Linked DNA regions of Pelodiscus sinensis. The protein of the gene in region 1 binds, or shares a complex with, the protein of each later gene. Links are inferred from orthologs where the notes say so. Each region holds a gene or a part of one and is shown in the gene's direction. Other genes may lie near its edges.

Region 1 (7,896 bases):
TCTGGCAAACCTGGTACTCTGGCCTGTATGCCAATGGTGTAGTCGGGAGTTGTACGTTTCTTACAGAAATCATGGATTCTGTAGTCTGTTTTGTTCCCTCCTTCCTTATTGGTGTCTTGGGATTCTTTCTGGTGACTGAATGGAGGCAAGAGCAGTATTTGAACCAATTTCACTGTGAACCATGACAGCAGGAACTCTCCTGGTTTATTAGTGGTTTGTCTTGTGTGCATGCTTGGGAAAAGGCAGACCATGAACTCCAGGATGTCTCTACTTTACTATTTGGTGGTGTTTGCATGTTTGAAAAAAAAGTCCTGAAACTACTCACAATGAGATAGTGATTGCTACTTACTGTGAGCAATCCCCATGGCTTTATGGAAGTAAGCAATATACCACCCTGTGTTTGTGGGATTGAGCAACTTCTTGACTGGTTTCACATTTGAGCTGCACCCAGTATGGAAGCTAACATGTTTGAGTTCTTAGGGCTTGACTGAATGCTCATTGATGTTAATAGCAAAGCTCCATTGACTTTAACCATCCAGGATTGGGACTTTAACACATACTATTGCTGTCATTGGGCTCAAGGCTGTTTGATTTCCAGCTATTTGAAAATATGCCTTATTCTCAGGGTATTATTTGGCATTGCCTAGGCCTTTATCCTGCAAACACTTAAGCATACACTTAACTTTATTCACTGTATTTCTGTTTACCTCAGTGGAAGTAATTACAGTGTGTAAAGTTAAGCATGCTTGTAAGGGTTAAGCCATAATTTGAATTGTGTTTAATTTTAGGAGATAACTTTATGGTCCCCAAGCCCCCAAAATAATCTAAGTGGGAAACAAATGAAAATGCCTCTTGGGGTGTTTCCTTGATAAATCCTTAATGGTGAGTATCTTGGGTATAAATACTTTTCTCCTGCTGCCAAGAAAAGAGCTTTGACTATTTATAGCAAAACCTGTTCATTTTCCAGTGTGGTGTCCAATTTTTCCAGACAGTAGTTGTGTCAATGACATAATTAATGGGCTTGACTACTTTTAACACGGACTACTCTTTGACTTTCACTCTGTGTGTGGGCACCATCTTTGTATGGCACATACTGAATCAGCACTTTGTGAGACACTGAATGGCTCTGTAATTTGCCAACAGAAAAGCATCCAGAGCCTTTGAGTTGGAGATCTTGGTGCACTGCATGCTTGAGGCACAGGAACAACTTATTACCTAGGGATATAAGCTATTAGTTGAGCAGTTGACTACCCAATAAGCCTAGCGTAGGCTTATTGGGTAGTCAAGTCACTGCTTGACTAGTCGCTTCCCCCATCCTTGCTGCCTCTGTATCAGAGGAGCAAGGGGGAGGAGCGGGAGCCAGTGCTGGGGGGAGCTGGCTTAAAAGCTGGCTCCCCCCAGCGCTGTCTCTGGTGGGGGGCAGAGGTGCAGCAGGGGACCCAGTGCGATCTGAGACTGAGCAGTCCCAGCTCACGCTGACCAATGATGCAGGTTTCACTTCCTGGCCCAAACTAATTAGAGAAAGAAAGACAATCTAAGAACATTTCTGTGTAATAGTAATAAAGTCTTTGTGCTTGGGCTACAGCTCCTTTGAGTTTATTAGAAGAGGAAACGATGGTAACACCAGGGCCAAGTATCAATAAGAAAATGGGGGCAGAATTTAGTGGTTACATTAGAAGATTAATAGTCAAGACTCCTATTCTGGTCTCCGCTAATATGCTGTGTGACTCTGGGCACCTCATTTCTTCTGTTTTTCCTATTTGCAAAATGTGTACTGTAATTTCTCTCACTCTAAAATTATTTTTCTTGCGGGACGACAGTGACATCATCACATTACTCTGCATCCCGCCTGCCTACTCCTTCCTTCCCCACCCTTTCCCCAGTGCTCGGGAGCCAGGATTGCTGCACCGTGGCCTCCCTCTTCCCTGATGTTTGGGTGAGAGCTGGGGGGAGAGTGCAGGGTCAGGTGTAGCCAGACAGGAACCCCCTTGTAACATCCATTTTTGCTTGCCTGGAGCATACAGGGCACACAGAGCAGAAGGCCCAGGCTGTGTGACCGTGAATGGCTATAAACAGAGATATGCCAATTGCTGACCAAGAGGCTGCCAAGGAGTGCCCTTGACTTAACCCATATTGATACGAACACACATCCATCCGCGGGGGGAGGAATCTCTCGCCCAGTAAAAAAAATGTCTAGTGCTCACAATTTAGTTATCTCTCTTGCAAGTGTAAATTAACTTGAAACTTGCTTGTAAGAACTGGCGCCACAAAACGGACCAGTAGAATTCGGCATCTTAGATAAGAAAGAGAATACGGGCCCCCAGGGGTATAAAGATAGGTCCAGCAGCGCATTCTCTTTGAGTGTCAATCTACCATCTATCTGCTGGTCGGGTTAGGTGTTTGATCTCCCGAGGTTCCAAGGGGACGCCCACCTCGTATTCGTCTTTCCTAGGAATTGAGAGACCGGCCCTGGCCTGACACGCTGGAGTCGAGAGGCACAGAAAGGGGTAAAAATTGTACCTGGATGTGGTCCTTTGTTTAAGTATATATATACATAGACTTAGAGCTCTTTAAAGATTAAGCTGTCACTTGGTACCATTATTTCTATTTTCTATCTTTATTTTCTTTGTAACCATTTTTAAAATCTGTATTTGTTAGCATTTAAGAAATAGAGCAATAGCCATTGTAACCATATGCTTTTATAAGTCTTTTAATAAACCTGTAACTGTTTAAGCTTTAACCTGACTCCTTCAGTTGCTGTAACAGAATCAAGCACAATTTAAAAGAACTTCAGCCGGTCATAAAGGGACAGACATAGGGAGAGCTTGGGCATTTGGATCTGTGTCACTCCCAGGTGACAAGATCCGTTAGGGCACCTTTCCAGCCTTTCCCAGGCTGCCCGCTGCGAAGGAACCCCTGTGTTCTAGCAGTTAAGATCTAAGGTGTAATAAGCTCTTTCTATATAACGGGGCGTCTGTTGGCCTGCTGGCCACCCTCTGCGACGGGACCCCGGTCCTAGCAGTAAAGACACGGACGTTAAACCTTTTCTCGGAAGCATACACACACACACTGCCCTGACCGTCGGCTGACATCAGGTGAGACCTTGGCCCGGACCCTCTCCGACCTGATGACCAGGGGGAGAGCACGGGACCTGGTGAGGCCTCAGCCCTCCTCGGTGGCTGGGGAGAGGTGGGGGAGAGCTGGGGCTGGCACAGCTTGGGGGAGAAGGAGGTAGAGCCAAGGCTGGCTCTACTTTCCCTCTACCTTCCCTGATGGCTGGGGTCAGGGGGAGAGCTGGGGCTAGCCAGGACTGGTGTGGCTGGGGGCGGGGGAAGAGGATAGAGCTGGGCTTTCCCAATCTTCGCTCCCTGTCGGGCAGCTGGGGAGGGAGAGAGGTGGGGCTGGTGTGTCTGGAGGAAGGGAAGCACAATAGAATTGTTTTGAAAACAGTCACCATCACTAACTGCTTAATGCCATCTCCACCTGCCAATGGTGGCAAGCGTTGGAAGGACAGAAGCATAAAAGGTAGTGGTGTAAGAGTAGGGAAGCTGAAACTTTGCTCAGTGATGGGTTCATTGGTAACTTGGGAAGAGTTGAGGACTGCACTTCACTTGCATTTGCTCTCCCTTTTAATGTGGAATCCATTATAGTTCCTTGCAAGGTGGAGCAGAGTCTTCTAAGGCTGCCTCTCTTTCTTAAAAATCTATGTGGCCACATGCTGAATTGGATATATTTCTGGGTTGCAGGCCTCACATTGGCACTCGTTATATAGGCTTGACAACGAGGGTGCAGATATTGACCAGAAGAGGTCTAATCCAAGTGTAATTGCAGGAGTATATTCAGGCTTGTTACCATCATGCTGTTTGGTAGAAGTGTTATTAATGAATTCTGTTTAATACCTTCCTTATTTCTTCCCGGTTGCTTATCAAGTCTGTAATCTTCAATTGACTTTTAACCTCCATGAAATAGTGGCTTCTGCTACAGCTATGGCTAGCACATAATTAATTAAGATGGAACTAATAATTAACAGGAGAACTGGCTTATTGAGTTGGTTTAGTTATTGAGAGATGTATGGCATAAGCGGGGCGGCCCGTGAGTATAGGCCAACTTGGCTGTGGCCTACGGCGCCGCCTTCAACAGGGTCCCTGGGATGCCCAATGATGATGTCACGAGGCGCCCGGGGTGCCCAATGATGACGTCACGTCGTTGAGGGCTGTGCAGGCGGGGGTGCCAATCGCGCGTTCCGCCTGGGGCGCCAGCTGCCACAGCCCACCTCAGGCCACCCCTGGGCATAAGCACAATTTATACAATTGAGAGCCTTCTAAATTACCTATTCTCCTGGTCTGATGATAGTCTGGGTTACAAAATTAAATGCAAAATGGAAGCAATGCTACTATATGTCTCATACCTTGCTTTAGTCTTCAGTGTAACAGGTGAGGGGAAAATTATAACTTCAGTTATCTTGGTGCATAAAGGTTCTTCCAATTCATGTTTTCAGTGTACCTGTAGTTAAATGAAAACTGCAGGTTTGTAATGTAGTTTTAAATAGGGAAAAGTGTAACGTGTATTTTCTGTAAGATTTGAGATATTTGCATATGAGCTCCTTATTGAAAACAGATAAGACAAATAAATCATTCATTGGTACTGGAATTACTTATGTTTTCTAGTTTCTCCATTTGATTATCACAAGACAGTGGGTTCTGCCATTTTTTTTTAGTGTCTTAAACAAAAAAACACACTCACTCTTTGTGTCCCTGGAGAAATAAGCTAAAATATGGTGAATCACTTAAACAATGAAGCAATTCATTGCCCCAGCCTGGCTTGTCACACGTTTTCCTTGCAGATTTTCATGGGTTATTAATGCATATCTTTAAAAGAAGATGATCTTAGTAGTTATGTTGCAGAGATAAGAGAGAGAGGCCGCGGCTGGCCTAGTTGTTACTGCAGACCAAGTGTGAACAAAGTGGAAATACTCTTCACTCCAAGTAAATTCCTTTCACATGAAAAGGAAACTATGACTGAGGTGCAAGATGCTGGAAGCGTGTACCACCAGAGGTACTGGGTGGTGGTAGATGATTTAGACTATATGTACATTAAAGTAAGTGTAATCTGTTGACTTTTTTCATGTTCTTTGTTTTAATAAAATCGAAACCTTTTGATATGGATACGCAGTCTCTGTGTTTGTACCAGTGCTTAATGAAAGTTTAGTTTTGATTTATTCTGATTCATTGTTAATAGCAACAAGATTCTTTCAAACATGACAGATGATGGTTTTATGGTTTGGGACTGGGTCTCTTTTTTGTTGGTTTCTTTTTAAATATCTCATGGGTTTTTTTCCCCAATAAGAGACATTAGCGCTTGTGGTATTGTATGTCAGTGTGTAATATTTGTTTTTATTATCTGTTTATTATAATGGGATTCATGCCACAGCAATCTCAGATAATGAAAGGCAACACAACATTGACTTGGTGACAGTAGCTGAATATACAGTATTTGTGAAGAAAAGGAATATAACTACTTATTGAAATATGGTACTGAATGAAATGCATCAGGAATCCAAATAGATGCATACTAACTTTTTAACAGTCACTTTTAATGTGGGTGGATAGCTCTAAATATTATTGTGACTCTTCCTATTTTATCAGACCGTTGAAGGTTCTGTGGGCTAGAATCTGATTCCAGTTTATGCTGGTGTAAACTGGGGTAACTCACTTATTAACAGTGGTATGTAGCAAAACAAGGTGCAGTCAGCTTGTGTGCTTCCCGGCGCAGCAACAAAGTGTATAACTAAGCACATTTTGGTCCCTTAGGGCTTTATCAAGGTGTGGCTTAAAAAGATGTTTTCAAAAGAATGGAATGTATGCGGAAAAAGTCCTCCAGCAAATAGGATGTGAGACTGTATCAGGTTTTGTCCTACTCTTATTTTTACATGCTAGTGCAAGTGGGTCATCAGATTAAAATAAACCAGGTAAAAATGTTGGCAGTTAGAATAAATGGTTTCTGAGCCTGGAAAGAAGAGTGGGGAGAGATGCACAGAATGCTGGGTGCAGAGCCAAGGTATAGATGATTGTGTGTCTTCCTCTGACCCCATGTTTTAAAACTTTGTTCTGGGCATTATCAAGATGGGACAAGTATCGCGTGCACTAGCATGTGTTTTATGGAAATCTGCCCAGACTGTTCCTCCGTGACTCAGAATGTGCTATGTCACAGGTGGCTATGCCTTAGAGTTCTGAATTGATATTATCTGTTAGTGGCTGTAATTGAGCTTCACTGTGTGGCAACAAGGTACACATGGCTTATTTTGAAAGGTTCACCGCTCTTCCCATGAGCCCGACAGCATCTTTGCTTAGCTCTCAAGTTAAAGTAATTTAATAGCCAGGATTTGCTGCACTGCTGTTTTAACCTTAGCACTATACACATACCTTTGTGGTTTAGTTCAGGTTTTACTGTAGTGAAAGTTGTGTCTGAGTAAAAAATGAGGGAAGCCCTCAGGATTTACTCACAAATTTGTAAGAAGACGTTTGGGAAAGTGCAATCTTTTCCTTGGTATTTTAACTGTTAGGTTATCCTAATGTAAAATCTAATGTTTCTCTTTACATGTGCACGTTCCCTTGTTTTTATCCTAACAGTTTATCAGTTTTCCATAGTCCAGAAGCTTTGCAAACATTTATGAATGTCGCCTCTAATAAGCCTGCAGGATAGGCTATCAGTTACTGCTCCAAATTTCCTTGAATAACTTCAGTTTCTCGCTTCTAGTGCTATAGTACACTGGGGTGCAGTATGATCACTATAACCCTTTATTTTCTCTTCCTGCCCTGTTAAATTCTGGACGTGCCAACTAATCCCATTAGAACATTGCAGATGGCTCAGTGCTAAATCAGTAGCAATGATACAAAAGAAGTGATTTCCACTTCCTGTATCTATGAACCAAGGGTTAACAGACAGATGCATTCACCACTGTCTATGTTCTCCATCCCCCCATCTGGAAGGCTCTGTAAGCAGGACATTGGCTCATAGCTGTTGGCAGAGTGAGTCAGTTCAGTTGTCTCATCAGCCTTTCCTGTACAGGTGAACTTGAAAGCTTTTTTGAAGGGGGGAGGGGAGAGGAATCTGTTTGAAGAGCCTTAAAATTAGTAATAGAATTTGGTGGTAAGGAGGAATCAATATAATTTTTATATTAAAAATGTTTTAACTTAGAGCCTTTCATTTTAATATAAAGACCTGATTTGAAGGTTCTGTACTACCCCTGCAAGAATCCATGACACTGTTAACAACTAAAGCAGAGAAGAGAAACACAGGGCTTCTATTTTGAGGATGTCATTTGGCAATTAACTTGAAGGTCTTGACAGGTGAGAGGAGGTGTGTTAAGACCCCCTTCTCTTTCACCTGACAAGATCTGAGTCAAAAGAATATTGTAAGAGTAACATTTTGACTTGAATTAGGTTGTTATAATTTGTGCAAATTTTTAATGCCCGTGAATGGTGTTTGGTAGTCTTGGACACTGAAGTTTTCTACATAGCTACAGTGATACCTAACCTAGATCCAAAGAGAGCATTGCTATTCATTCCTGGGCCTCTTAGATGAGAGTGCCATCCATGTTGCCTATTGGTAGCAGTTGTGGTACATCTTCTGATGGGAATATCAGAGCTAGTTTTCAGAGGACAGAACATCCCACTCATTACTGAATACCAAAGAGCCCACAGATGGTAATGAGTGTCAGTCATTATTGACTTGACTGTGGATTTGGACTAATGGCGTGATTTTTAGTATTTAGCTGTAAACCTATACATTCTTTAAATTTGTGGTTTTAACAAGTTGTTTCACTTCTCTTTTTAGAACTAACTTCTTTGCGTCTTAAAGTGAAGCTACTTAAAGAGTTAACCCTGAAACACTGAC
Region 2 (7,790 bases), on another chromosome or scaffold:
CTGTAGGGAGAGAGCGTTCCGCAGAGCAAGATGCTTGGCTTTCAGATGAAAAGCAAAGCAGAGGTCCTGCGCTGTGCACGCCGAGAACCTACAATGCTCAAGTGAGTCCTAGACAAACCCAGATGGGGGTTATACTGTACCATCCTAGCCCACCCTGCATCCAGACTGCTGCTGCACTTCCTGGCCCAGAACGCTATAGGCCTGTTGCTCTGTGCTTTGGCCAGTTGCTGTAGGCAATAGAGACAATGGCCTTGACTTATTGCCATAGAGACTACGGCCCTAATGTCAGTACTGGGCAAATTAGTTGAAACAATAGTAAAGAATAAAATTGTCAGACATGTAGAAGAACATAATTTGTTGGGCAAAAGTCAACATGGTTTCTGTAAAGGGAAATCCTGTCTTACTAATCTATTAGGCTATGTCTACACTCACGGCTTCTTGAGCAAGTACGGGCGTTCTTGTGCAAGAATCTGCAGAGCGTCCACACTGCCCGCCCGCAATTGCGCAAGGAAATTTACAGTACGGCGTGGTAAGAGAGGGCTCCTTGCGCAAGGAGACATAGCCTTAGAGTTCTTTGAAGGAGTCAACAAACATGTGGACAAGGGGGATCCAGTGGATATAGTGTACTTAGATTTCCAGAAAGCCTTTGACAAGGTCCCTCACCAAAGGCTATTACGTAAATTAAGTTGCCATGGGATAAGAGGGAAGATCCTTTCACTGGTTAAAAGACAGGAAACAAAGGGTACATTTTCAGAATGGAGAGGGGTAACTAGTGGTGTCCCCCAAGGGTCAGTCCTAGGACCAATCCTATTCAACTTATTCATAAATGATCTGGAGAAAGGGATAAACAGTGAGGTGGCAAAGTTTGCAGACGATACTAAACTGCTCAAGGTAGTTAAGACCAAAGCAGACTGTGAAGAACTTCAAAAAGATCTCACCAAAATGAGGGTATGTCTACACTACAGAGTTAGTTCGAACTAACTTAGTTGGAATTAGTTAATTCGAACTAAGCTAATTCGAACTAACGCGTCTAGAACTAAAAACTAGTTCGAATTAGCGTTTTGCTAATTCAAACTAGCAAGTCCACATTGAGTGGACTCTGAACAGGGCTTAAGGATGGCCGGAAGCAGTGCCGGCAGGGCATCAGAGGAGGACTTAGAGCGTGGAGATGCTGTCTCAGGCTAGCCGAGGGCTGCGCTTAAAGGGTCCCGACCCCCACCCCGGACAGACAGTTCTCAGGGGTGCCCCGCTTCCAAAGCAGTCCTGGCTTGGAGTGCCCGGAGTACCCACACTGGGCACATCACACCACTCGGACATCAGCCCGGCTGCACTTGCCGCAGGCTGCCATCTGGGGAGAGGGAGCAATCGGGGGGCTGCAGGAGAGCTTCCACCCCCAGAAGCCTGCAGAGCCAGCCCAGTCCTCCCCATCGGGGGCTCGTACCCCATTCCTCCCTCACCTCCTTCCACTTACCCTTCCCTAGCCCCCCTTCTTATTGATGTACAAAATAAAGATAACGTTTCTTCCAACATTGATTCTGTCTTTATTGAACAAAACTGGGGGAGACTGGGAAAAGGAGGTGGGAGAGGGGAAGAGAAAGGCTGGGAGAGGGGAGGGCAACTAACACGATCAGGGGTTGGGAACAGGTCCCAGATGAAGAGAGGCTACAGAGACTGGGACTGTTCAGCTTAGAAAAGAGGAGATGGAGCGGGGACAGGATAGAGGTCTCTAAAAGCAGGGGTTGGGTGGAGAGGGTGCATTCATAAAAGTTCTTCCTGAGTTCCCATAAAGAAGGACTAAGGGACACCAAAGGAAAGGAATGGGTAGCAGGCTTGAAACTAGTAAGAGAAAGTTGTTGTTCTTGACAAAGCAAATAGTTAACCTGTGGAACTCCTTGCTGCAGGAGGCTGTGAAGGCTACAACTAGAACAGAGTTTAAAGGGAAGTGAGATCAAGTCATGGAGGTTGGGTCCATGGAGTAGTCTTAGCCAGGGGATAGGAGTGGTGTCCCTGCCCAAAGTTTGTGGAAGGCTGGAGAGGGATGGCACAAGACAAATGGCTTGGTCACTGTCTTCGGTCCATCCCCTCCAGGGTCCCTAGGGTTGGCCGCTGTCGGCAGACAGGCTACTGGGCTAGATGGACCTTTGGTCTGACCCAGTACGGTCATTGTAAGCTCAGGGCTCAGGGTCGGGGGTCTCAGTGGACCCCCTTGATTTTCATGCACACCTGCTCCTGGGTGGCCAGGCTGGCAGCTCTCCTGCCCTAGCTGGCCACTTTCCTGTGCCTAGTGCGGAGATCGTGGACGAGGTCCACGATGTCCGCACTAGCCCAGGAAGGTGCCCACCTCTTGCGGTCCAGGGCAAGCTCCCGGGAGCCGCCAGCCTGGTCCCGGGAAGAGGGGGTGGGCTGGGGGACATCGGGTGGGTGGCTCTGTGCCGTGCCAGGTGCAGGGTCTGCTGGCTGGGTGCTGGCAGGCTTGCACCTGGCACGGGCACCGTAGCCAGCCCGTGCCCCTTTAAGGGGTCCGGGGCCGGGAGGGGGGCATAGAGTTTCCCTGGTGTTGGCCAGAGTGGCCACCAGGGAAAGCTGGTGAGGGCTAGCCTCCCACTAGTTCAAATTAAGGGGCTACACACCCCTTAATTCGAACTAGTAAATTCGAACTAGGCTTAATCCTCGTAAAATGAGGTTTTCCTAGTTCGAACTAAGTGCTCCACTAGTTCGATTTAAATTCGAACTAGCGGCGCGCTAGTGTAGCGGCTATGAATGTTAGTTCGAACTAACGTCCGTTAGTTCGAACTAACATTGTAGTGTAGACATACCCTGAGTGACTGGGCAACAAAATGGCAAATGAAATTTAAGGTGGCAAAATGTAAAGTAATGCACATCGGGAAAAATAAGCCCAGCTATACATATAACGTGATGGGGGCTAATTTAGCTACAACTAATCAGGAAAGAGATCTTGGAGTCATCCTGGATAGTTCTCTGAAGATGTCCATGCAGTGGGCAGCGGCAGTCAAAAAAGCAAACAGGATGTTAGGAATCATTATAAAAGGGATAGAGAATAAGACGGAGAATATCTTATTGCCCTTATATAAATCCATGGTACGCCCACAGATCTGCGTACAGATGTGGTCTCCTCATCTCAAAAAAGATATACCGGCATTAGAAAAGGTTCAGAGAAGGGCAACTAAAATGATTAGGCATTTGGAACAGGACCCATATGAGGAGAGATTAAACAGACTGGGACTTTTAAGGTTAGAAAAGAGGAGATGGAGGGGGGATATGCTAGAGGTCTATAAAATCATGAGTGGTGTGGAGAAAGTGAATAAGGAAAAGTTATTTACTTGTTCCTATAATATAAGAACTAGGGGCCACCAAATTAAACTAATGGGCAGCAGGTTTAAAACAAAGAAAAGGAAGTTCTTCTTCACACAATGCATAGTCAATCTGTGGAACTCCTTGCCTGAGGAGGCTGTGAAGGCTAGGACTATAACAGGGTTTAAAAGAGAACTAGATAAGTTCATGGAGGTTAGGTCCATCAATGGCTATTAGCCAGTATGGGTAAGGAATGGTGTCCCTAGACTCTGTTCGCCAGAGGGTGGAGATGGATGGCAGGAGAGAGATCGCTTGATCATTCCCTGTTCGATTCACTCCCCCTGGGGCACCTGGCATTGGCCACTGTTGGCAGACAGGATACTAGGCTGGAAGGATCTTCGGTCTGACCCAGTCTGGCCAGTCTTCTGTTCTTATGACTTTGCAAGGAATGTCAGGGCCTGCCCATGGATATGTAAAGGGATTAAGGAGGGTGGGATTAGATGGGTGCTCGTGGGCAGGGCACTCCTGTACTAGTGTGTGTGTTTAACAGTGCCGGGTGTGTCTGAGGAGCTGCCCAACAGAAAGGCCAGTGTCCCTTCCTTGAGGAATTTACAAAGCTGCAGGGGGGCGTCGACACTGCGGTTAGACCCCGGGGCTGGCCTGTGCTGGCTGACTCAGGTGCACAAAGCTCCCGCTAAGGGACTGTTCACTTGGAGCCCGCAAGACGGGGCCTCCCACCTCACGGGGCTCCGGCTCCGGGTTTTTAATTGCAGGGTCGCTCTAGGCGGGGTGACCCCACTGTGTGGGTTAGCGGGGGCAGGGAGGGCGAGAGGGGCAGAGGACTGAGGGGAGCGGGGGCTGGTGGGCAGGCGTGCTGAAGCTCTCAATGAAAAACACGCTCTGCAGGTGGGCGACGTTGCCCGTGCACCAGCGGGAGGGTGGAGGCTCAGGCCAGGGGCAGGGTGTGGGACGGTGGGTGCAGCCAGGGGCGGCCCGTCCATAGAGGCGAACTGGGCAGTGGCCTAGGGCGCCAAGTTAAATGGGGCGCCAAATGGTGGCCCAACATCATGGAGGGGTTTGGGGGGGAGGGGTGCCATCGCATGGTTCGCCCAGGGCGCCAGGTGCTGGCAGCTAGTCTAGGGCCGCCCCTGGGTGCAGCCCTGCAGAGGTGCCCAGGAGCCCTGGGGGGGGGCCAGGAACGGCACACCCCGAGGACCAGCGCGGGCATTTCCCGGCCCGGGCTTGGCCCCTGCAGCCGCTTTCCCTCCCCCGCCCCGGGGCGTGGCTAACCCCGGCCCGCCACCTGCGGCTCTCCCGGCAAGGGGCGCCCCCAGCGGCCGCCCAGGCCCCAGGCGCACCCCGGGGCGCCCCACCCGCGTGCGCACTGACCCCGCCCGCACCTGGGCGGTCCACAGGCTGCCGCCCCGCCCGCCCGCCGGGCCGAGGGCTGGGCTGCAGGGATGACAAAGCAGCGGCGAGCCGGGCGCAGCCCTCCCCCTCCTGCCGCGGCCGCCCGGCGCCGCTGCCATGGCAAGCAGCCCGGCGCGCCCGGGCCCGTGATGGGGCGGCCATGGCCCAGGCGGGCGGCAGCGGCGCGGGGGGCCCCGGGGCGCTGTCCCTGGAGGAGGTGCTGAAGTCCTACGAGCAGCCCATCAACGAGGAGCAGGCGTGGGCCGTGTGCTACCAGTGCTGCCGCGGGGGGCCGGCGGGCCGGATCCGGGACACGGCGGACATCCTGCTGCACAAGGATGGGGCGGTGACCGCCCGCGGGGCGCAGGGCGCGGCCGGTGAGTGTCCCCCGGGCCGGTGGCTTCGGGCCCCCCATGCCGAGACGAGCGCTGGGGGCTAGCGGGGGGTCCCGGGGTCCCCGCGCGTGCGGCCGGCTCCGCAGCCATGGATCGCTCCCTCCGGAGGGGAATTTTCCAGAGCCGCCGGGGGGGCGAGGCCGAGCCAGGCCGGGCTGCGCGGGGAGCTCCTGGCGGGGACCCCGGGGAGGGGGGGGTCTCACCGCCTGCTGACCCGGCCCCACGTCCCAGCTCCCGCCCCGTCCTTTGCAGGGGGCGCCCGGCCCCTCCCCCTGGGCAGCTGCTTCTCCGGGGCGCAGCGGCCGAGGGGCGCGGTGGCTTCCCGGCTGTGGCTCCCAGCCCTGCTCCGCCGGCCCCAGGGCCTGTGGGGTGCGCCTAGGCCCATTGCCCCGGAGCTGTGAGAGGGCCCGGGAGTTCCAGCAGACTGGGCACTGCCCGGGGCAGCCCCGCGGCCGGCCGGAGCGACCTCCGAGATGCCTGCAGGCCGGGCGGCAGGTGGAGCAGCCAGCCCTGCCCAGCCGGATTGCAACGCAGCCAAATGACCTTGCGCCGCTGGGACGCTGTGACCCGGGGTGTCAGGCTTGTCCATTGGAAACCCGCATTGGCAGGGCTTGGTGGCAGTGCCGCAGGGGGGCCCTGAAACCCACCACTCTGGCTGGGGGGGCGGGAGATAGGGCATCTGGGGATCCCCTCTCTGGCTCTTTTTAAACCCCCGCCATGAACAAAATCTGAGGTCTCTGGGTTCATGGAGGAAAACAGCTTTAACTCCTTTGAAGAGCAGGAAAGTTGGTTGACCCTAGAACACAGGCCTGGGGCCGAAGGCTTCTATTGCATTTAACCCAGAGACTTCCAAGTATTTCGCTCCACAGATTTTCTAGCTCTTTGGGTTGGAAACTGGCGGGTAGTAATCTGTGAGTTAAGAAATTCACCGACAAAACGATATTATGGGAAAGTGGAGACAAAGCGCACGGAATGCATGCATGTGGAAGGGTGAAAGCACAGTAATTATCATTAATAATGGGAATGACCAGTTCCCTGTAGTGTCTAAGCAGAAAATGGCCATACACACCATACTGGGGCATGTGAGGACATGATGCTTCATCTGAATCCTTGTTCTTCCCTGGTTGTCTCTCATCTTTAATATTAAGGGAATATAACACTGTCTGGAGAAGAAAGATACACGATTACCCGGAAGTTGCTTAGTAAGACAGTAAAACGTTGGGCACTTGTCACATGGACCTGGAGAGAGGTCAGGCTACAGCAATACTGAACAAATTCAAAATCTAGATGATCACAAGACGGGGTGTGCCAATCAGTTGGACTCTTGAGCTATAGTTGCCAGTAATCTTAGCCCTTCCATGTATCTTTCTCCAGCCACTGTCAAGAAGGGCCCAATCTGGCCAGCAACGGCAGACGCTAGCACACAAATTCAAAGACTCAGAGAGGGCTACACTACATGTGTAAACTTTGAACTTTATTGGGTTATGCTAATTACCCAGCCGTGAGCCAGGAGGTCAGTGTCTCTTCCAAAGACACATTTCGTAACGTGGGTAGTTTTATGGTCTATAATGACACCCCATGCCCATAGAAGTTGTTTGCAGTTTGGTGAGTGTCTCAAGCCAGCACCAAGAGGCTAGCATGCCTGTAATAATAGGGATCATGGTAATCATTCTTGTATAGCACTTTTCATTGTCAAAGCGCTGTACAAACACGGCCGTGTTACTGTCTGCCTTGACCCGGTGGGGTGTTCGCCTGCTTTTCCAGAGGGGGAAGCTGACAGGGAGAGCCTGAATCACGGCTGGAGTGTGCAGAGCAGAGACAGTCGGGACTTCATATTCTCAGCCCTAGAATGTCCTGCTTGAGACCACCGGCCTTCTCAAGCTAGGTGAGGGGAAATCAGATCACTTCTGGTTAAAAAGCAGCCCCCATGCAGCCTGTGCTGGCTGTGTGACAGCCTCACTCCTGGAATTCATGCACAAGGCCCTCCGCTTGACTACAACAGCTTCCAGGCAGCCACACCTGGCCTGTCACACACTGACCCTTGCACACTCTTATTATCAGGGTGATTCAAGTGGCAGTTAGCTGAGCAATTCCAATTATCGCGCCTGGGCCACCTGTGAGTTCCTCCTCCTCCTGACACTTGGGAGGATAAACACCGGCAGCGATCAGCCGGCGCGGGCTCCCTGTACAAACAGTTATACACAAATGAGGTGCCTTATGCAAACGCACGTCACTAATGTGCAGCTCTTTGCCTCTGACACAACAGAAAGGCACCTTGCCGGGCCCAGAGCCGTGCGTTTACCTCCGCGCTGAACTGGGAGGAGGCTGGGTTGTTACTCGGGTAATATTGACTGAAAATTCTTCACACAACCCTCCAAAAACTGGCTGAGCCTGTTCCAGGCCAATCGCCAGTGAAATCACTATGTGCTCAGATGCAATCACTATGAAATCACTATGTGCTCAGATGCAATCACTATGAAATCACTATGTGCTCAGATGCAAAAGGAAGCTGCTTTTCAACACACCACAGAAAATACGTTCGCCCGGGTTCATTAAATCATTCGGATGCTCTGGCCGGTTTTGCCCACAGGCGGTGCTGCTATTGTCCGTGGGAACGAGGCCAAGAATTGCATCACAGCTACGGTCCCTGAGGAGCGATGCTGCTGTGCTGCG

What was found.
Region 2: the proteins of MYO5A (region 1) and SPIRE2 are in contact, whole or in part, in a crystal structure (PDB 5JCY), measured with the Homo sapiens proteins. The link is inferred for Pelodiscus sinensis from reciprocal best matches to the Homo sapiens genes MYO5A and SPIRE2. Residues at the interface, in NP_001369276.1 of Homo sapiens: Asp1551, Val1554, Arg1555, Thr1559, Ile1562, Asn1563, Lys1566, Ser1597, Gly1598, Leu1615, Thr1616, Asn1617, Phe1618, Asp1619, Leu1620, Ala1621, Glu1622, Tyr1623, Val1626, Asp1629, Leu1630, Gln1633; in NP_115827.1 of Homo sapiens: Arg404, Pro405, Arg406, Val407, Leu408, Leu409, Lys410, Ala411, Pro412, Thr413, Leu414, Met417, Glu418, Met420.

Annotation. Positions count from the first base shown.
Region 1 is NC_134724.1:25,553,378-25,561,273, reverse strand, and holds the start of MYO5A (unconventional myosin-Va), read left to right. Parts: upstream 1-4,895; 5' UTR 4,896-5,014; coding exon 5,015-5,098; intron 5,099-7,896. UniProt on the Homo sapiens protein: Processive actin-based motor that can move in large steps approximating the 36-nm pseudo-repeat of the actin filament. Can hydrolyze ATP in the presence of actin, which is essential for its function as a motor protein. Involved in melanosome transport.
Region 2 is NC_134722.1:2,370,362-2,378,151, reverse strand, and holds the start of SPIRE2 (protein spire homolog 2), read left to right. Parts: upstream 1-4,780; 5' UTR 4,781-4,882; coding exon 4,883-5,099; intron 5,100-7,790. UniProt on the Homo sapiens protein: Acts as an actin nucleation factor, remains associated with the slow-growing pointed end of the new filament.